Linked DNA regions of Cricetulus griseus. The protein of the gene in region 2 purifies or fractionates together with the protein of the main gene of each other region. This does not show direct contact. Links are inferred from orthologs where the notes say so. Each region holds a gene or a part of one and is shown on either strand. Other genes may lie near its edges.

Region 1 (3,690 bases), on a different chromosome or scaffold from region 2:
GGCACTTGTTGCCAAACCTAATGGTCAGAGGTGACTCATGGTATATATTTGAAACAAGAGACAGGATTGATTCTAACCCTGAAGGTTTTTGTTCACCTTCCTTTCATCCTGCCTCCCAGGATGACAAGAGATGTGAGTGGATCTATCGAGGCTCTACACGCCTGGAACCCATGTTCAGTATGAAGACATCATCAGCTTCTGCAATGGAGAAGAAGCAAGGGGGACAATTGAGAACCCGTCCTAATATGGGTATGCCCCTAAAAGACACCTAGGGAAAGGAAGAGACGGGGCAGACGTGCAAAGAAGTGTAATGAGCCTTTTTCTGTCCTGACAGCCAGCTCCCACACAATAACATAGACACTTATTATTAATTAGGAAAGTTTGACCTATAGTTTAGGCTTGTCTCAACTATCTCGTAAAACTTAAATTAACCCATATTTTTAAATCTATGTGCTTGCAATATGGCATTACCTCTCTTCCATCTTGCACCTCCGTTTTCTATCTGAGTCTGGCTGGTGACTCCCTTTTTTTTTTCCCAGAGTGCTGTCTCCAGAAGTCCTGCCCAACCTCATTCTGCCTAGCTATTGGCAATTCAGCTCTTTATTAAACCAATCAGAAGGCACTTTGGCAAAGATAACATCTTTACAGTGTAAACAAATATTATGCAACAAAGAAGATTACATATGGCAGCTATCTTTGTTTTGTTTTGTTTTATTTTGTTTTGTTTTTTTTGAGACAGGGTTTCTCTGTATTGCTTTGTAGATTGTTCTGAAACTTTCTCTGTATACCAGGCTGGCCTCGAACCCACAGAGATCTGCCTGCCTCTGCTTCCTAAGTGCTGGAATTAAAGGTGTGCGCTACCAACACGAGGCTGGCAGCTGTCATTTTATTTACCATAACATTATTTTTAACTCACTAGATAAGAGATATGTGTCCAGAATGTTTTCATTAGTGGTGATGGATTTGTGGAGCTACCTTCCCATTGCAATCACTTTGATTCTTTCTACATATCCACATAAGGCCATGTGTGTTGGTGCACACCTGTAGTCAGTTCCAAACAATTGGAAGACAAAAGTAGATAAGTTCAAAGTTCAAGATCATCCTTGGCTACATAATGAGTTTGAGACCAGCCATGATTACATGTGACTGTGCCTTGAAACAATATGTTTTTCCAAAGCCAGCATATACTAGTGTACCAACTTGTGTGAATAATCAAAACAATCTATCTTAACATTTAGAAAGTTGCCATTTGCCACCTTTGTATGTGAATACAGGTATTTGCATACATGCTACTTCCTGCTGGACAGTGGTGGTGCACTCCTTTAATTTCAGCACAGGCAGCAGAGACAGGCAGGGTCTGTGAGTTTGAAGACAGTCTGATCTACATAGTGAATTCCAGGACAGCCAGGACTACCCAGAGAAACACTGTGTCAAAAAACAAACAAAAAACAGCCTGGAGGTGGTGGTGCATGCCTTTGATCCCAGCACTCAGGAGGCAGAAGCAGGGCAATCTCTGTGAGTTTGAAGCCAGTCTGGTCTGCAGAGTTACACAGAAAAACCCTGTCTCAAAAAACCCAAAACCCTGTCTCAAAAAACCCAAACAAACTTGGACTTGTTTTTTTGAGCCAAGTTCTGTTCATTGCTGCATCTAAAGGCTAGCTGCCTATAGGCTTCTGGGGATTTCTATGTTGCCTACCTCCCGTTTCCCTGCAGGAACACTGGGATTATAGACACATGCTACCATGCCTAGCTTTACATAGGTTCTGAGGATTTGAATTCAGGCACTCATGCTTGTGACCCTGAGCCACCTCTGTTTTCTTTTGCTGCATTTTTATATTGCATTAGTTGATAGACTGTGCGAATAAGAATATCTAATACAGCTGTCAATTTTTGTTTGTTTTTCCTGTAGGTGCTGTGAGGAGCAAAGGTCCTGTTGTTCAGTATACACAGGACCTAACCAGCACTGGAACCCAGTTCAAGCTCACGGAGCCCCCACAGCCCATAGCTACACCGGCCCCCCCTGCTGCACTTCCTCTTTCCCCACAAGCAGGTGACACTGAGTGAGTGCTCCTCATTCTTTTTACTTGGAGTGTTTTTTTTTTTCCCCATACGTAACTTCTGAATCTTTACTGTATGTTCTCTTTCCAACTTCCTTAGAAGCTTAGAAAGCCAACTTGCTCAGTCACGGAAGCAAGTGGCCAAAAAGAGCACATCGTTTCGGCCAGGATCTGTGGGTTCTGGCCATTCCTCCCCTGCTTCGCCCACACTCAGTGAAAGTGTAACTGCTGGGAAACTTGGGATCAACCAGACATACAGGTAAGAAAACCTCAGACACTGTGGGCAGCTTGACAAAATGGACTGCTGTACAGGGTCTCCAAGGGCCTCTACTTTAAAGTTATGTTAGTGAGAAACTTGAGCTAAAAAAGAATTGTTAAATTAAGCTGGGCAGTGGTGGTTATATGCCTTTTTAATCCCAGCATTAAGGAAGCAGAGGCAGGTGGATCTCTGTGAGTTCAAAGCCAGCCTGGTCTACAGAGTGAGTGCCAGGACAGCCAGGGCTACACAGAGAAATCCGGTCTTAAAAAACAGCAACAAAAGTTAAATTAGAAATCCCATGCCTGAGAAACACACTGTCACCAGAAAGTCATTTGCCAAAACTTCTTGAGTATGGTACCATTATCATTGCTTCAACAGGAAAGAGACCCCATCATTTCTTTCCTTGACTCCTAGAAGATAGTAAGGATGTTTAGAGGACACAAAATACAGAGGTTTTGGTAAAGGACTAAACTCTACTTCTTAAGACAGACATGCATTAGGGAAAGTGCCCTGTTGAACTAGAGGCGATCCTGTCTGTGAAGAATTGACAGGGGGTATCATTGTCCATTTTTGTTTGCTAAAAGAAAGGATCTGACCTTAATCTGTAGGATCCAGAGCACAGCTGGCTGGGTGCATTGTTACACACTTATAATCCCAGCTCTTAGGAGGGTGGAGCAGAGGATTGGGAGCTGATGATACCCCTTTCTCAAAAAAAAAAAGAAAAAAGAAAAAAAAAGCTATATGAAAGATGAGAGAAATGCCTTAGCCAGTTGGAAGGGGGATAATTGTACAGCAAAGAGTCTTGTTATCACCGGGCAGTGGTGGCGCAGCACACCTTTAGTCCCAGCACTGGGCGGGAGGCAGAGGCAGGCAGATCTCTTGAGTTCCAGACCAGCCTGGTCTACAGAGCTAGTTCCAAGACAGCATCCAAAGCCACAGAGAAACCCTGTCTGAAAAAGAAAAAAAAAAAAAAAGGAAAAGTCCTGTTATCTTCTGATCTGATATTTTTGCATTTCATTTATAGATCGCCTTTGGCCTCAGTAGCATCTACTCCAACACCTGCAGCCCCTCCAGCCTTCCATGGCATGTTAGAGCGGGCACCAGCTGAGCCTTCCTACCGAGCCCCCATGGAGAAGCTTTTCTATTTACCTCATGTCTGCAGTTACACTTGTCTGTCCCGGATCAGACCCATGAGGAATGAACAGTACCGGGGCAAGAATCCCCTCTTAGTACCGCTGCTATATGACTTCCGTAGGATGACAGCCCGGCGTAGAGTTAACCGCAAAATGGGCTTCCATGTTATCTATAAGACACCCTGTGGTCTCTGTCTTCGGACAATGCAGGAAATAGAACGCTACCTTTTTGAGACTGGCT
Region 2 (3,690 bases):
GCCACCTTCTGGCATTCAGGTGTTCTGGCAGGCAGAACACTGAACACATAATAAACCAATCAATCAGCCAGGCGGTTGTGGCACACACCTTTAATCCCAGCACTCGAGATGCAGAGGCAGGTGGATCTCTGAGTTCAAGACCAGCCTGGTCTACAAGAGGTAGTTCCAGGACAACCCCCAAAGCCACAGAGAAACCCTGTCTCAAAAAACAAAAAACAAAACAAAAAAACCAATCAATCTTTTAAATTATTTTGAAGGGGTCTCATTACATAGACAAAGCTGACCTGCAACTCACAGAATCTCCCAGCACAGGTGCAGATTAAAGTCAGCACCACATCACTTATCAATATAAAGTTCTTGATGGTTTGGGGCTCAATGGATAGTGACAACTTGTCATGCATGAGCCCTTGGGTTCTAGCCCCAACATGTCAAAGACCAGGTGTGTTGGTGCCTGCCAATCACCCCAGCACTATGTGGAGGCAGGAGAATCAAAACTCCAAGATCATCCACAGCAGCATGGCTCACTTACTCAAAAATCATTTGTCATTTATTAGGTTTCAACAACCTCCTTGCAAGGCACAAAGATTTTATTTATTTATTTATTTATTTATTTGTGGCCAGGCATGGAGGTGCATGTCTTTAATCCTAGCACTCAGGAGGTAGAGGCAGGCCTGGTCTACAGAGTGAGTTCCAAACAGCCAGGGCTACACAGAGAAACCCTGCCTCGAAAACAAAGTGTTATCATGATAGGACTGCCTCACCACACAAGAGCTGCTGTAGTGTCAAAACCTCACAGGACACAGTGGTCATCCACTGAGGCAACAGCCCAGTTAGGAAACTGAATAAGAAATCCTGATGGGACCGGAGCATTTAAAACCAAAACTCCCAGTAGCCCAGGAACCACAGCCAGATAAAGCCTGCAGCCCTACAGAAAGTACACAGGCCAGAAGCCAACTGCCCCCTCTGCAGTCAGGCTCCAGAGGTCCGCACACTCACTCCAGAGCCTCCTGTCGCTCCTTGCGTCGTTCCTCCTTGAGCCGCTGCTTTTCCGCCTTCTCCTTCTCATCCTTCTCCCGCTTTTCCCTCCGCTCCTTCTCCTTCAGCTCCTTCTCTTCCTCCTTCCTTCTTCGAGCCTCCTCCTTGGCTTGCCGCGTCTCTTCCCTCAGCTTCTCCTTCTCCTCCCTCTGCTGTTCTCTGTCCTGTAAGAAGACAGTGGCAAAGGTGCACCATGGGTGACCTAAGGCAAGAACTGCCAAGCACACAGAGCCCAGAGTTCAGCTCAGCACCAAAGACACAAGTGTCAGGGCAGTGGTGGTGAACTATTGCCCAGGCTGACTCATTCCCTACATACATTCAAGAACGACTCGATTTCCTTTGAAATGAGAGACTGGACTGAGGGTAAGGACAGGAGCCTGGTGGGTGAGTATTAAACAGAGTCCTGGGTTGGACCCCAATGCCCAGCAGAGATCCTTTTGGGACTGAGCTCTACCCCAGCAGGTCTCTCCAAACCGGAGTCTGAGCCCTCAGTGTCCAGCTTGAAAAAGGACTTCAAGCCTTCCTGTAATGAAGCCTGTGGATGTAGGGCTGCTGCTGTAATAGGCCTGTGTTGGGTGGTTTCTTGGTATTGGGGATTCCAGCATGTTTTGCAACTGTGCTCTGGGCCACAGCTTGTAAGTGCTACTTCCTGGCCAAAAGAGGCAGTCTGACCTGGGTAGGAGGTGCAGGCCTGACTGCATTGTCAGTTCCCGGTTGTTACTAAGGAGACAGAAGCCCAGGAGACTCTGTCTGCTGTACCTTCATATGCGCTGCTCACACAGGCTGGATTGTACCTGGCAGTGTAAGCATGTCATTTGTCACTGGGAGAATGGGGCCAGCCTGGGCTACACAGGGAGCCTCTAAGCAAACAGGACTGGGGTTCACCTCAGAGGACCAGAATGTTCAGCATGCAAAAAGCCTGCTTTTCCAATACCAAATGCCTTAAAAAGCACCCAATGACACCATACTCCTTCCTAACTGCAAAGGGGTTGTGTAGCACAGTGAGCACAGCAGGGCCTAAAGTTTTACACATTAGAGTGTCCCTTTCCCCACAGGCCACATGGTGACCTGGAGACCAAAAAGTCGCAACCAGCTGTCACCTCTGCATTGTCTGGGGCCACTTCCATGTGAACCTAACTCATACCCTTCCAAGGAGAGTGAGACCATGTCAAAGGTATTTTGTTTAGTTTTGCCTTTTTTTTTTGAGACAGGGTTTCTCTGTGTCCTGGAACTGTCCTGGAACTCGCTTTGTAAACCAGGCTGGCTTTGAACTCAGAGATCGGCCTGTGTCTGTCTCCGTAAGTGCTAGATTAAAGGTGTGTGTCGCCACCCCCGGTTTTTTTTTGTTTTTGTTTTTTTTTTTTTGACTCACTATGTAACCCTTTAACCCTGGCTGGACTTGAACTCAATGCCCCTTTGAAGGGAGTTTTCCCAATGGCAGCATGTGCTGGCAGAGACCCAGGCAGAGCCTGCGTACTCAGGACACTCGGTCCACCACCATTGCCAGTGCAGTGGCAGCACAAGCAGGAGAGTCCATAAGCACAAGGCTCCAAGAGCTGGGAGGAGGACCTTACTCTGTGTAGTTTGCTCCTGCCCTTCTCTGTGGAGCCTCTGACGAGTTTCTTGTTAACCTGAAAAGAAAGACATAAGAGCTTAGGTCACATTCCCACAGGGCTCCATCCCACCCCACGGGAAGGGCAGTAGGGCCTAGAACCTACAGGGGACATTCTGGATATGGTCTATAAGCCCCAGGAGAGAGGTGATTTAGCAGTTGACTTTAGCTTGAAGCACAGGGACCTGATTAAGCCCCAACACAGAAAGAGCCAGGTGTAATGATGGACACTTTTAATCCTAGCACCAGGCACTAGAAGACAGGAGGATCCCTGGGGCTCCTTGGCTGGCAAACTCAGTTAGCCCACCCAGGCCACCCAAATGGTGAGCATAATCACAATAAGAATCTCAGTGTGGTGGCTACGCCTTTAGTTCTAGCACTAGGGAGGCGGAGGCAGGCAGGCAGCCAGCCTGGTGTATATGGCAAGACCCAGGCCAGACAGGAAGACAAAGTGAGACTCTGTACCCTACCCCCCAAAATGGTGAACAATGCCTGCAGACCAATAATAAAGGCTGTCCTTCTGGCCTCCACTCACACACAGGAACCAACCCACAAAGGTTGTTTGTCAAAGATGATATATATTCTACTTATGAACTATAAGTAGAATCACCCGTGAGGAGCTGGGGTGTGGTCAGGGATGGAGCCTTCTGCCCAGGAGTCACCAGGAAGAGGCTGAGGATGTGGTAGGGGTGGAGCCCCCACCTAGAATCCTCCTAAAAGGGGCTGGGGGCGTGGCTCAGGGAGTGGAATGCCCCCCCCTCTGTATTGAGACAAAGCAGAAACAAAACAAAACATTGTTGCAAAAGTCTTTTCCAGCAACAGCATCAAATGTTACAGTCAGAACACAAAGGCCTTACTCAGGTAAACTGGAGACAGAGAAGAATACCAGTGAGGAGAAGCCACCAGTGGACAGGGATGAGCTGGAGGCCAGCTCCCAGCAATCAAACGCCACTGTGTTCACAGGAGCTGGTCTATGATCCTGCAAGGTTCCAAATGAAGCCCTTCCTGGTACAAATGAGCCCAAGTTCTTTGTGGTGCTGGAG
Region 3 (3,690 bases), on a different chromosome or scaffold from region 2:
CTACCTTCCTCTTTTCCCCCTGCTCATTTTCTAAGTTATTACAGTACTCCAGCTTAAATAGTTAATCTGGTGCTTCTTCTAAGCAGTCTTGAGGCTTAGAAATAAAGTAAACTAAGTCAAATAATAGTGATTTATGGGCAAGGGCTGTAGCATAGTACCTAGCATTCTTGAAACCCAAGGTTTAATTCCTAGTACTACCAAAGGGAAAAATGGGAGTTGGCTGGAGTTGTAGCACAGTTGGTAGAGTAGTCTCTTGCCTTGTATATTATACAAAGCCCTGTGTTCAGTCTTTTAGCACTACTGGGGGGAAGAGACAAGAGGGTCAGAAGATCAAGTTCATCCTCTGCTACATCATGTGAGGTAGCTTAGCCAAGCCCGAGACCCACATGGAGCTGACTCCCACAAATTGTCCCGTGACCTCCGTGACACCCAAACTTAGACTACATGAGTAAATGCAGTAAAAGAATTTTTAAAGTTTGAGCTGTGAATTTATGATGTCATTCAAGAAAAGCAAAGTGAAAAATAAAGGGACTTTTTAGCTGGACATGGTAGCATACATCTATGATCCCATTACTTAAAAGATAGAGACCAGATCAGGGATTCAAAGCCATCCTGAGCTATATGAGACTGTGAAGGCTGGGCGGTGGTGGTGGCACATGCCTTTACTCCCAGCACTCGGGAGACAGAGGCAGGAAGATCTCTGTGAGTTCGACCCACACATTGTAGTATCACCTATAATTCCATCACATAGAAAGCTGAGGACAGGACTGGAGAGATGGCTCAGAGGTTAAGAGCACTGGCTGCTCTTCCAGAGGTCCTGAGTTCAATTCCCAGCAACCACATAGGTCACAACCATCTGTAGAGATCTGGTGCCCTTTTCGGGCCTGCAGACATACATGCAGACAGAACACTGCATGCACAACAAATAAGTAAATAAATAAATAAATAAATAAATAAATCTTTAAAAAAAAAAAAGGAAAGAAAGCTGAGGACACCTTGGGCTTCTTAATAAGTCCTTGTCCAAAGGGAAAGAAATTTGCTGTGAGATTAATAATCATGGCTAGGGGTTAGAAAGATGGATCTGCAGTTAAGAGCATTGACTGCCCTTCCAGAGGACCCAGCATCCACATGGTAGCTCACAACTGTCTGTAACTCCAGTTTCTGGGGACTTGACACCCATGGCAAAACACCAATGCACATTTTTAAAAATGAATTAAAATAATAATTGTGCTTTTAAAAAAATAATCGTGCCGAGTGGAGGCAGCAGCATGGGCCTTTAATCCCAGCACTCAGGAGACAGAGGAGGCGGATCTCTGTGAGTTCAAGACCAGCCTGGTCTACAAGAGCTAGTTCCAGGACAACCTCCATAGCCACAGGGAAACCCTGTCTCAACCCCCCCCCCCAAAAAAAAAAAAATATAGCTAACTTGCTAGCTAACGTGGAAACGTGGTTGTGAACTGGAGATAAGTAGAGCATTATACATAAGCAGTGTACATCATCTGTGATTTCCCTTACCATCCAGATATTTATCTGACCAGTAAATGTGCCTTGATGCCCTTTTTATTTTCTTTTGTCATTTTAGCAGCGTCACTCTTTACACCGGAAAGCTGGCGGGTACTATGGGGAAAAAACAGAACAAGAAGAAAGTGGAGGAGGTTCTAGAAGAAGAGGAAGAGGAATATGTGGTGGAAAAAGTTCTTGATCGACGAGTTGTCAAGGGCAAAGTGGAATATCTTCTAAAGTGGAAGGGTTTCTCAGAGTAAGTTTCATTGGCACAGGTAAATTCAGTCCTTATGCTTGATACCTGTTCTGTGATGGGTATACCTGGGGTCAGTCCTGACCTCCACAGCTGATAGTCTACTGAGGAAGGACCTACATGCAGAATACTGCGATATATGGCAGCATTTTGTTTTGTGTATGTGGCATGTGTGGCCTTAAGTCCTGGGATGAAAGTCAGGTCTTCAGGCTTGCCAGATGTCTCCTTTTTCCCATTGAGCTATCTCACCAGTCCACAACAGTGATTTCTGAGGAGCAATTTGTATAAGATAGTCCACCTCTGCAAAGTAGTTTTTCCTTGAAGAAGACAAGTTTCTAAGCCTTTGGTCTTTACCATCCCCTGCTAGGAAACTTCTTAATTTTGAACAAAAATCTAGCTGTTCCTTATCATTTAACTCTCTTCCAAGACTACCTCCTCTCTTAGTTACAAATGTTGACTTGAGTGGAAGTGTAACTTGCTGTGATTGCTGGTTTCAGTGAGGACAATACATGGGAGCCAGAAGAGAACCTGGATTGCCCTGACCTTATTGCTGAGTTTCTACAATCACAGAAAACAGCCCATGAGACAGATAAATCAGAGGGAGGCAAGCGCAAAGCCGATTCTGATTCTGATGATAAGGGAGAGGAAAGCAAACCAAAGAAGAAGAAAGAAGAGGTGAGAAACTTAGGACAAGGATTTAAGTATTGGGCTTACAATTATGAGCTACGATACTTGAACTTCTTCCTCTGAATCTCAGCAGTTATGTCCTCTGTCCTTCGGAAATAAACTAATGTTTTTAAAAGATTTGGAAGTCAACCATGTGCACACCTGTAATCCTAGCAGAAGGATCAGGTATAAGAGACCTTGACTACAGGAGACCTTGTCTCATTGAAACATAACAAAACCAAAAAAAAAAAAAAAAAAAAAGGATTTGGGACTTATTCCTGTAAAGTGATCTAATCTTTTTATCTATGGTGCAAGAATGATGGGATAGCCGGGTGTTGGTGGCACATGCCTTTAGTCCCAGCACTTGGGAAGCAGAGGCAGGGGGATCTCTGTGAGTTCCAGGACAGCCAGGACTGTTACACAGAGAAACACTGTCTTGAAAATCCAAAAAAAAAAAAGCACTGACTAGCTGCTCTACCAGAGGTCCTGAGTTCCATTCCCAGCAACCACATGGTGGCTCTGTAATGAGATCTGATGCCCTCTTCTGGCATAAAGGATGTAACAGTTACTGGAGACACATGACAGCAACTGAATTTGTTTCCTGTCAGTAGATTGCTGTCAATAGATTGCTTTTAGTTTTTTGTTTGTTTGTTTGTTTTTTAGATTTATTAAGTATACAGTGTTCTGCCAGCATGTGTGCCTGCAGGCCAGAAGAGGCACCAAATCTTATTACAGATGGTTGTGAGCCACCATGTGGTTGCTGAGAATTGAACTCAGGACCTCTGGAAGAGCAGTCAGTGCTCTTAACCTCTGAGCCATCTCTCCAGCCCACTTTCAGTGTTTTGATCATTACAGATTTGAAGTAGCTGTTTTGTCTTACTTAGTATCTTAATTAATTTACCTTTGAAGAGACAGCATGAACATTTCTTTTGCTTGGGGTGTGTGTCCCATTCATGCCAGGGGTACCTCATGGTGTGGGAAGCAGAGGAAACCTTTAGTGAATGTTTGTGATTACATTTCTTAGAAACACAGCAATAACTTCATTCTGGATATAGTCCTATGCCAATAAAATTGTTCTGTCCTTCTGGTTTTTACAGTCAGAAAAGCCACGAGGCTTTGCCAGGGGTTTGGAGCCTGAACGGATTATTGGAGCTACTGACTCCAGTGGAGAACTCATGTTCCTGATGAAATGGTGAGTCTGCCAGTGGCTCTGTGTGGTTGTTTCTTCCCTTCTCCATCTGTTCTATGCCAGAGGAAAAGAGCTGCAC
Region 4 (3,876 bases), on a different chromosome or scaffold from region 2:
TAAGTAATTATGAAAGTACCACACTTGTTGGTTTTTAAGTTTCTAGATGTATCTAATTGGTGGATTTGTAAACTCAGTGAATATGAAGATGGGCTGTGACTTCCAAATGGTGCTGCTATGTCCAGTCCAGTGTCTAGGCTCATTGGCAAGTGCTAAGGAAATCATGATCCATTACCTCCCTCCTACTGTTTCCCCTATTCCAAGCTACCTGCTCCCCTAACACTCCTGCCTGTTGAGCCAAGGCCTCTTCCAGGGCACATAGCCTGGCCATTGAACATCCCCACTGGGGATGCTCTGCTCTGTGTCATGGATTTGGCTAAGTGTAGGTGTTTTCATTTGCATTGGTTTCATATAACATAGTTGCTCCATCCAGAGCCACACACCCTGATCTGTGATTCTGTTCTCTGTTGCTGGGATTAGTCATCCTGTCCAGGATGACTCCTGACTGGCTTCCCTGCTTCTGCTCAACCTTCTGCAGCTAGACCTCCACATACCTGCACTCTTTTCAGACCTTACCTCTTCTAAACACTGCTCTTTCCCAAGCCCTGAATTTCCCCAGCAGGCCTGGGGCTGCCTCATATCCACCTGACCAACTTCATCTCTTGTCAGTTCCTTTTTGCACCACATTCTGCCTAAACACCCTTGTCTCCTAGTCACATTCCGAAGTTTTGAATTTACTTACTTATTTTTTCCGAGACAGGGTTTCTCTGTGAAGTTTTAGAGCCTGTCCTGGCACTTGTTCTGTAAACTAAGTTGGCTCGAACTCAGAGATCTGCCTGCCTCTGCCTCCCAAGGGCTGGGATTAAAGGCATGTGTCACCACTGCCTGGCTGAATTTACTATTGTTGTTACTAAGACTAAGGACAGAAGGTAGGACTCTGCATACTGAGCAATCATGTTGCCGAGTCAAATTCACCATCTCTTTGTAGCTACCTGTTTGGTCAGTTTTTTTAGTCCAGTTCTTTGGTAGTCTTTGAGTCATGAGTGGCAGTGCTAAAGCCCAGGATGTGTCTCCCCAGGCTGATGCCCCCAATCCATCCCTCATTCCTGAGACCGACGCCGTGGGTGTCACTGTGGTTCTCATCACCTGCACTTACCATGGACAAGAGTTCATCCGTGTGGGCTACTATGTCAACAATGAGTACCCAAATCCAGAGCTTCGGGAGAACCCACCCCCAAAGCCAGACTTCTCTCAGGTGAGGTCTGTCTCTGTACTTCCTGCTTCAGACAGGCCAGTTCCTTTACTGCTAAGGGAGATGGGTGCCCAGGTCAGTGAAGGTTAACAGGTCATGCTGTCTTTGAGGTAGAGCTAGGATGAAGCAAGTCTTTTCTTCTTGAGGCATGCCTGACAGGATCAGGGCTAGAGCTAGGGGGAATGTAGCACACTGTGATCCCAGCATCCCGGTCCTCAGAAGGCTGAGCTGCAAGTATCATAAGTTAGGAGGCCAGCCTTCTCTGCATAATGAGTTCCAGACCAACCTAGGCTACATAGTAAGACCCTGTTTTCAGGTGGGGAGGTGGAGGTGGGGGGGTGCTGGAGGGCCACTGGAGATAGCTTAGCAGTAAGAGCATTGGCTGCTCTTGCAAAGGACCTGGGTTTGATTCCTAGCAACCACATGGTGGCTCACAGCCACCTTTAATTCCAGTTTCAGGGGATCTATGCCCTCTTCTAACCTCCATGGGGATTAGGCACAAATGTAACAAATAGACATGTGTAGGCAAAACATTTATATAATAAAAATAAAGTTTTTTTTTTGTTTGTTTGTTTTTTTTTTAATTAAGTAGGCTGGAGAGAGGACTCAGCAGTTAAGAAACTTGCTGTTCTTCAGAACCAGGTTCAATTCCCAGCACCCACAAGCTGTTACTCTGTGCCCTCTTCTGGCCACCAAAGGCCAGACACACACACACCAGGCACACACGTGGTGCACAGATATATGTGTAGCCAGACACCCATATATATAAAACTTTTTTAAAAATCATGCTAGGCATGGTAGTGCATACTTTTAACCTCAGCACTTGGGAGACAGGGTCAGGCAGATCTCTGTGAGTTCCAGACTAACCTGGCCTACATAGTTGAGACTCTCAAAACAACCCCCCAAAAAACAAATGAACAAACCCAAGCAAAACCAGGATGAGGAAGGCCCTGTTCCTACTCCATAGTGTACAAGCATCTTTTGGGCTCAAAGTGGAGGTAGGAGGGCATCCTGGCCCTTAGGTGATAGGCACTGACACTCTTCTTGCTCCAGCTACAGCGGAACATCTTGGCTTCTAAGCCCCGGGTGACCCGATTCCATATCAACTGGGACAACAACTCAGACAGGCTGGAAGCCACAGAGAACCAGGACCCCAACCCGGACTATGGCCTTCCCCTCAGTTGCACTCCCATCAAAAGCCTGGGCCTCCCTAGCTGCATCTCAGGCCTCCTCCCGGAGAACTCCATGGACTGCATCTGATGGGGGCCAGGCTGGTCCCAGTAGGACCATGGCCAGTCTCCTTGCACACCTAGAGGGGACCTACAGGCCCTCATGCTTGGTCATCTCAAGGATTTGAGGGCCTCTAGCTGCCTCCAGACCTGTCAGCCCCAAGGAAAATATGGACCCCAACCTCTCAGCTCAGGTCCAGAAGAATCCTCTCACTTCTGACCCATCAGCCTCTAAGAAGCAGGTACTCATATGCTCATTCTTTGTGTCATTTTTTCTTCTATACTATCAGTGCCTTTGAGAAGCTCTTTGAATATCACCTTCCTTGAAGCTTGTTTGGGCAACGCTTGGCTAGCCTTTGGCCAAAGGTTGTCACTCCTTCTCACTCCAGTTCTTGGTGTCTCAGGCAAGGAATACTGGTTAGAAGGCAGACTTGGTACCACCAGTGTCCTTCCAGGGTGTCTAGGTCATTTAAGTCTAACCACTGCTAGAAAAATCCCCAAAGGTAAGCTCCCCAGGCCATGAAGGTATGGTGGGTACTTTGGTTACAGCCACCTTCTCATTGTGACTGAGCCTAGCTTTCTAAGAGGATTGCCTTGGGTAGGAGGCATGTTGGAGGTCCTGCTTCATGGAGTTATCAGGGTTTGCTTTGATGACATATTCTCATGAGCTACCCAATACTCCAGGATAAGGAGGCATTTGGCAGGCTGACCTGAGAAACTCCCACTCCATCTACCCTTACCCTAAGCCCTGGGTCCCCTTGCTGCTGCTACATGGATGCTATTGTGAGTGCAGTGTGTATATGAAAATGCTTTTATATTAAAAGTTTTGGTTGGTTTAAAAATAAAAGCACTTCATCTAGATTGTTCAGTTCTGGTTTTTTTTTTACCCCCCACCTGGCATGCCTAGAACTCACTATGTAGAACAGGCTGGCCTCAAACTCACAGAGATCCACCTGCCTCTGCCTCCCGAGTGCTGGGATTAAAGACATGTGCCATCAACACCCGGCCTGTTTTTTTGTTTGTTTGTTTGTTTGTTTTCTTCTTCTTCTTTCTTCTTTCTTCTTCCTTCTTCTTTCTCCTCCTCCCTCCTCCTTCCTCCCTCCTCCTCCTCCTCCTCCTCCTTTTTTTCTGAAACAAGACTTCTGTGTAGCCTTGGCTGCCTTGAACTTGCTCTGTAGACCAGGTTGGCCTTAAACTGAGAGATCCGCCTACCCCTGCTTCCCAAGTGCTGGGGTTAAAGACATGTGCCACCACTACCTGGCCTAAACATTAAGTGATTCTTTTTTGTTTTTTGAGACAGGGTTTCTCTGTATAACAGCTCTGGCTGTCCTGGAACTCTGTAGACCAGGCTGACCTCAAACTTACAGACATCTGCCTGTCATTGCCTCCCAAGTGCTAGGTTTAAAGGCGTTGCCCCACCACTCCCAGCTTAAAACATATTTTATGTGTTTGGAT

What was found. The genes of interacting proteins can lie anywhere in the genome.
Region 1: the proteins of Chaf1a (region 2) and Setdb1 purify together in Homo sapiens (affinity purification with western blotting; 3 studies listed by BioGRID and IntAct, with this or other methods). This does not show direct contact. The link is inferred for Cricetulus griseus from reciprocal best matches to the Homo sapiens genes CHAF1A and SETDB1.
Region 3: the proteins of Chaf1a (region 2) and Cbx1 purify together in Homo sapiens (affinity purification with mass spectrometry; 4 studies listed by BioGRID and IntAct, with this or other methods). This does not show direct contact. The link is inferred for Cricetulus griseus from reciprocal best matches to the Homo sapiens genes CHAF1A and CBX1.
Region 4: the proteins of Chaf1a (region 2) and Asf1b purify together in Homo sapiens (co-immunoprecipitation; 7 studies listed by BioGRID and IntAct, counting the BioPlex papers as one, with this or other methods). This does not show direct contact. The link is inferred for Cricetulus griseus from reciprocal best matches to the Homo sapiens genes CHAF1A and ASF1B.

What each region holds. Positions count from the first base shown.
Region 1 is NW_023276806.1:61,158,663-61,162,352, forward strand, and holds part of Setdb1 (histone-lysine N-methyltransferase SETDB1), read left to right. Parts: intron 1-119; coding exon 120-249; intron 250-1,909; coding exon 1,910-2,060; intron 2,061-2,157; coding exon 2,158-2,316; intron 2,317-3,340; coding exon 3,341-3,690. UniProt on the Homo sapiens protein: Histone methyltransferase that specifically trimethylates 'Lys-9' of histone H3. H3 'Lys-9' trimethylation represents a specific tag for epigenetic transcriptional repression by recruiting HP1 (CBX1, CBX3 and/or CBX5) proteins to methylated histones.
Region 2 is NC_048598.1:97,490,132-97,493,821, forward strand, and holds part of Chaf1a (chromatin assembly factor 1 subunit A), read right to left. Parts: intron 2,667-3,690; coding exon 2,610-2,666; intron 1,200-2,609; coding exon 997-1,199; intron 1-996. UniProt on the Homo sapiens protein: Acts as a component of the histone chaperone complex chromatin assembly factor 1 (CAF-1), which assembles histone octamers onto DNA during replication and repair.
Region 3 is NC_048600.1:109,951,129-109,954,818, forward strand, and holds part of Cbx1 (chromobox protein homolog 1), read left to right. Parts: intron 1-1,582; 5' UTR 1,583-1,619; coding exon 1,620-1,759; intron 1,760-2,253; coding exon 2,254-2,431; intron 2,432-3,519; coding exon 3,520-3,614; intron 3,615-3,690. UniProt on the Homo sapiens protein: Component of heterochromatin. Recognizes and binds histone H3 tails methylated at 'Lys-9', leading to epigenetic repression. Interaction with lamin B receptor (LBR) can contribute to the association of the heterochromatin with the inner nuclear membrane.
Region 4 is NC_048596.1:160,448,174-160,452,049, reverse strand, and holds the end of Asf1b (histone chaperone ASF1B), read left to right. Parts: intron 1-1,018; coding exon 1,019-1,195; intron 1,196-2,245; coding exon 2,246-2,452; 3' UTR 2,453-3,282; downstream 3,283-3,876. UniProt on the Homo sapiens protein: Histone chaperone that facilitates histone deposition and histone exchange and removal during nucleosome assembly and disassembly. Cooperates with chromatin assembly factor 1 (CAF-1) to promote replication-dependent chromatin assembly.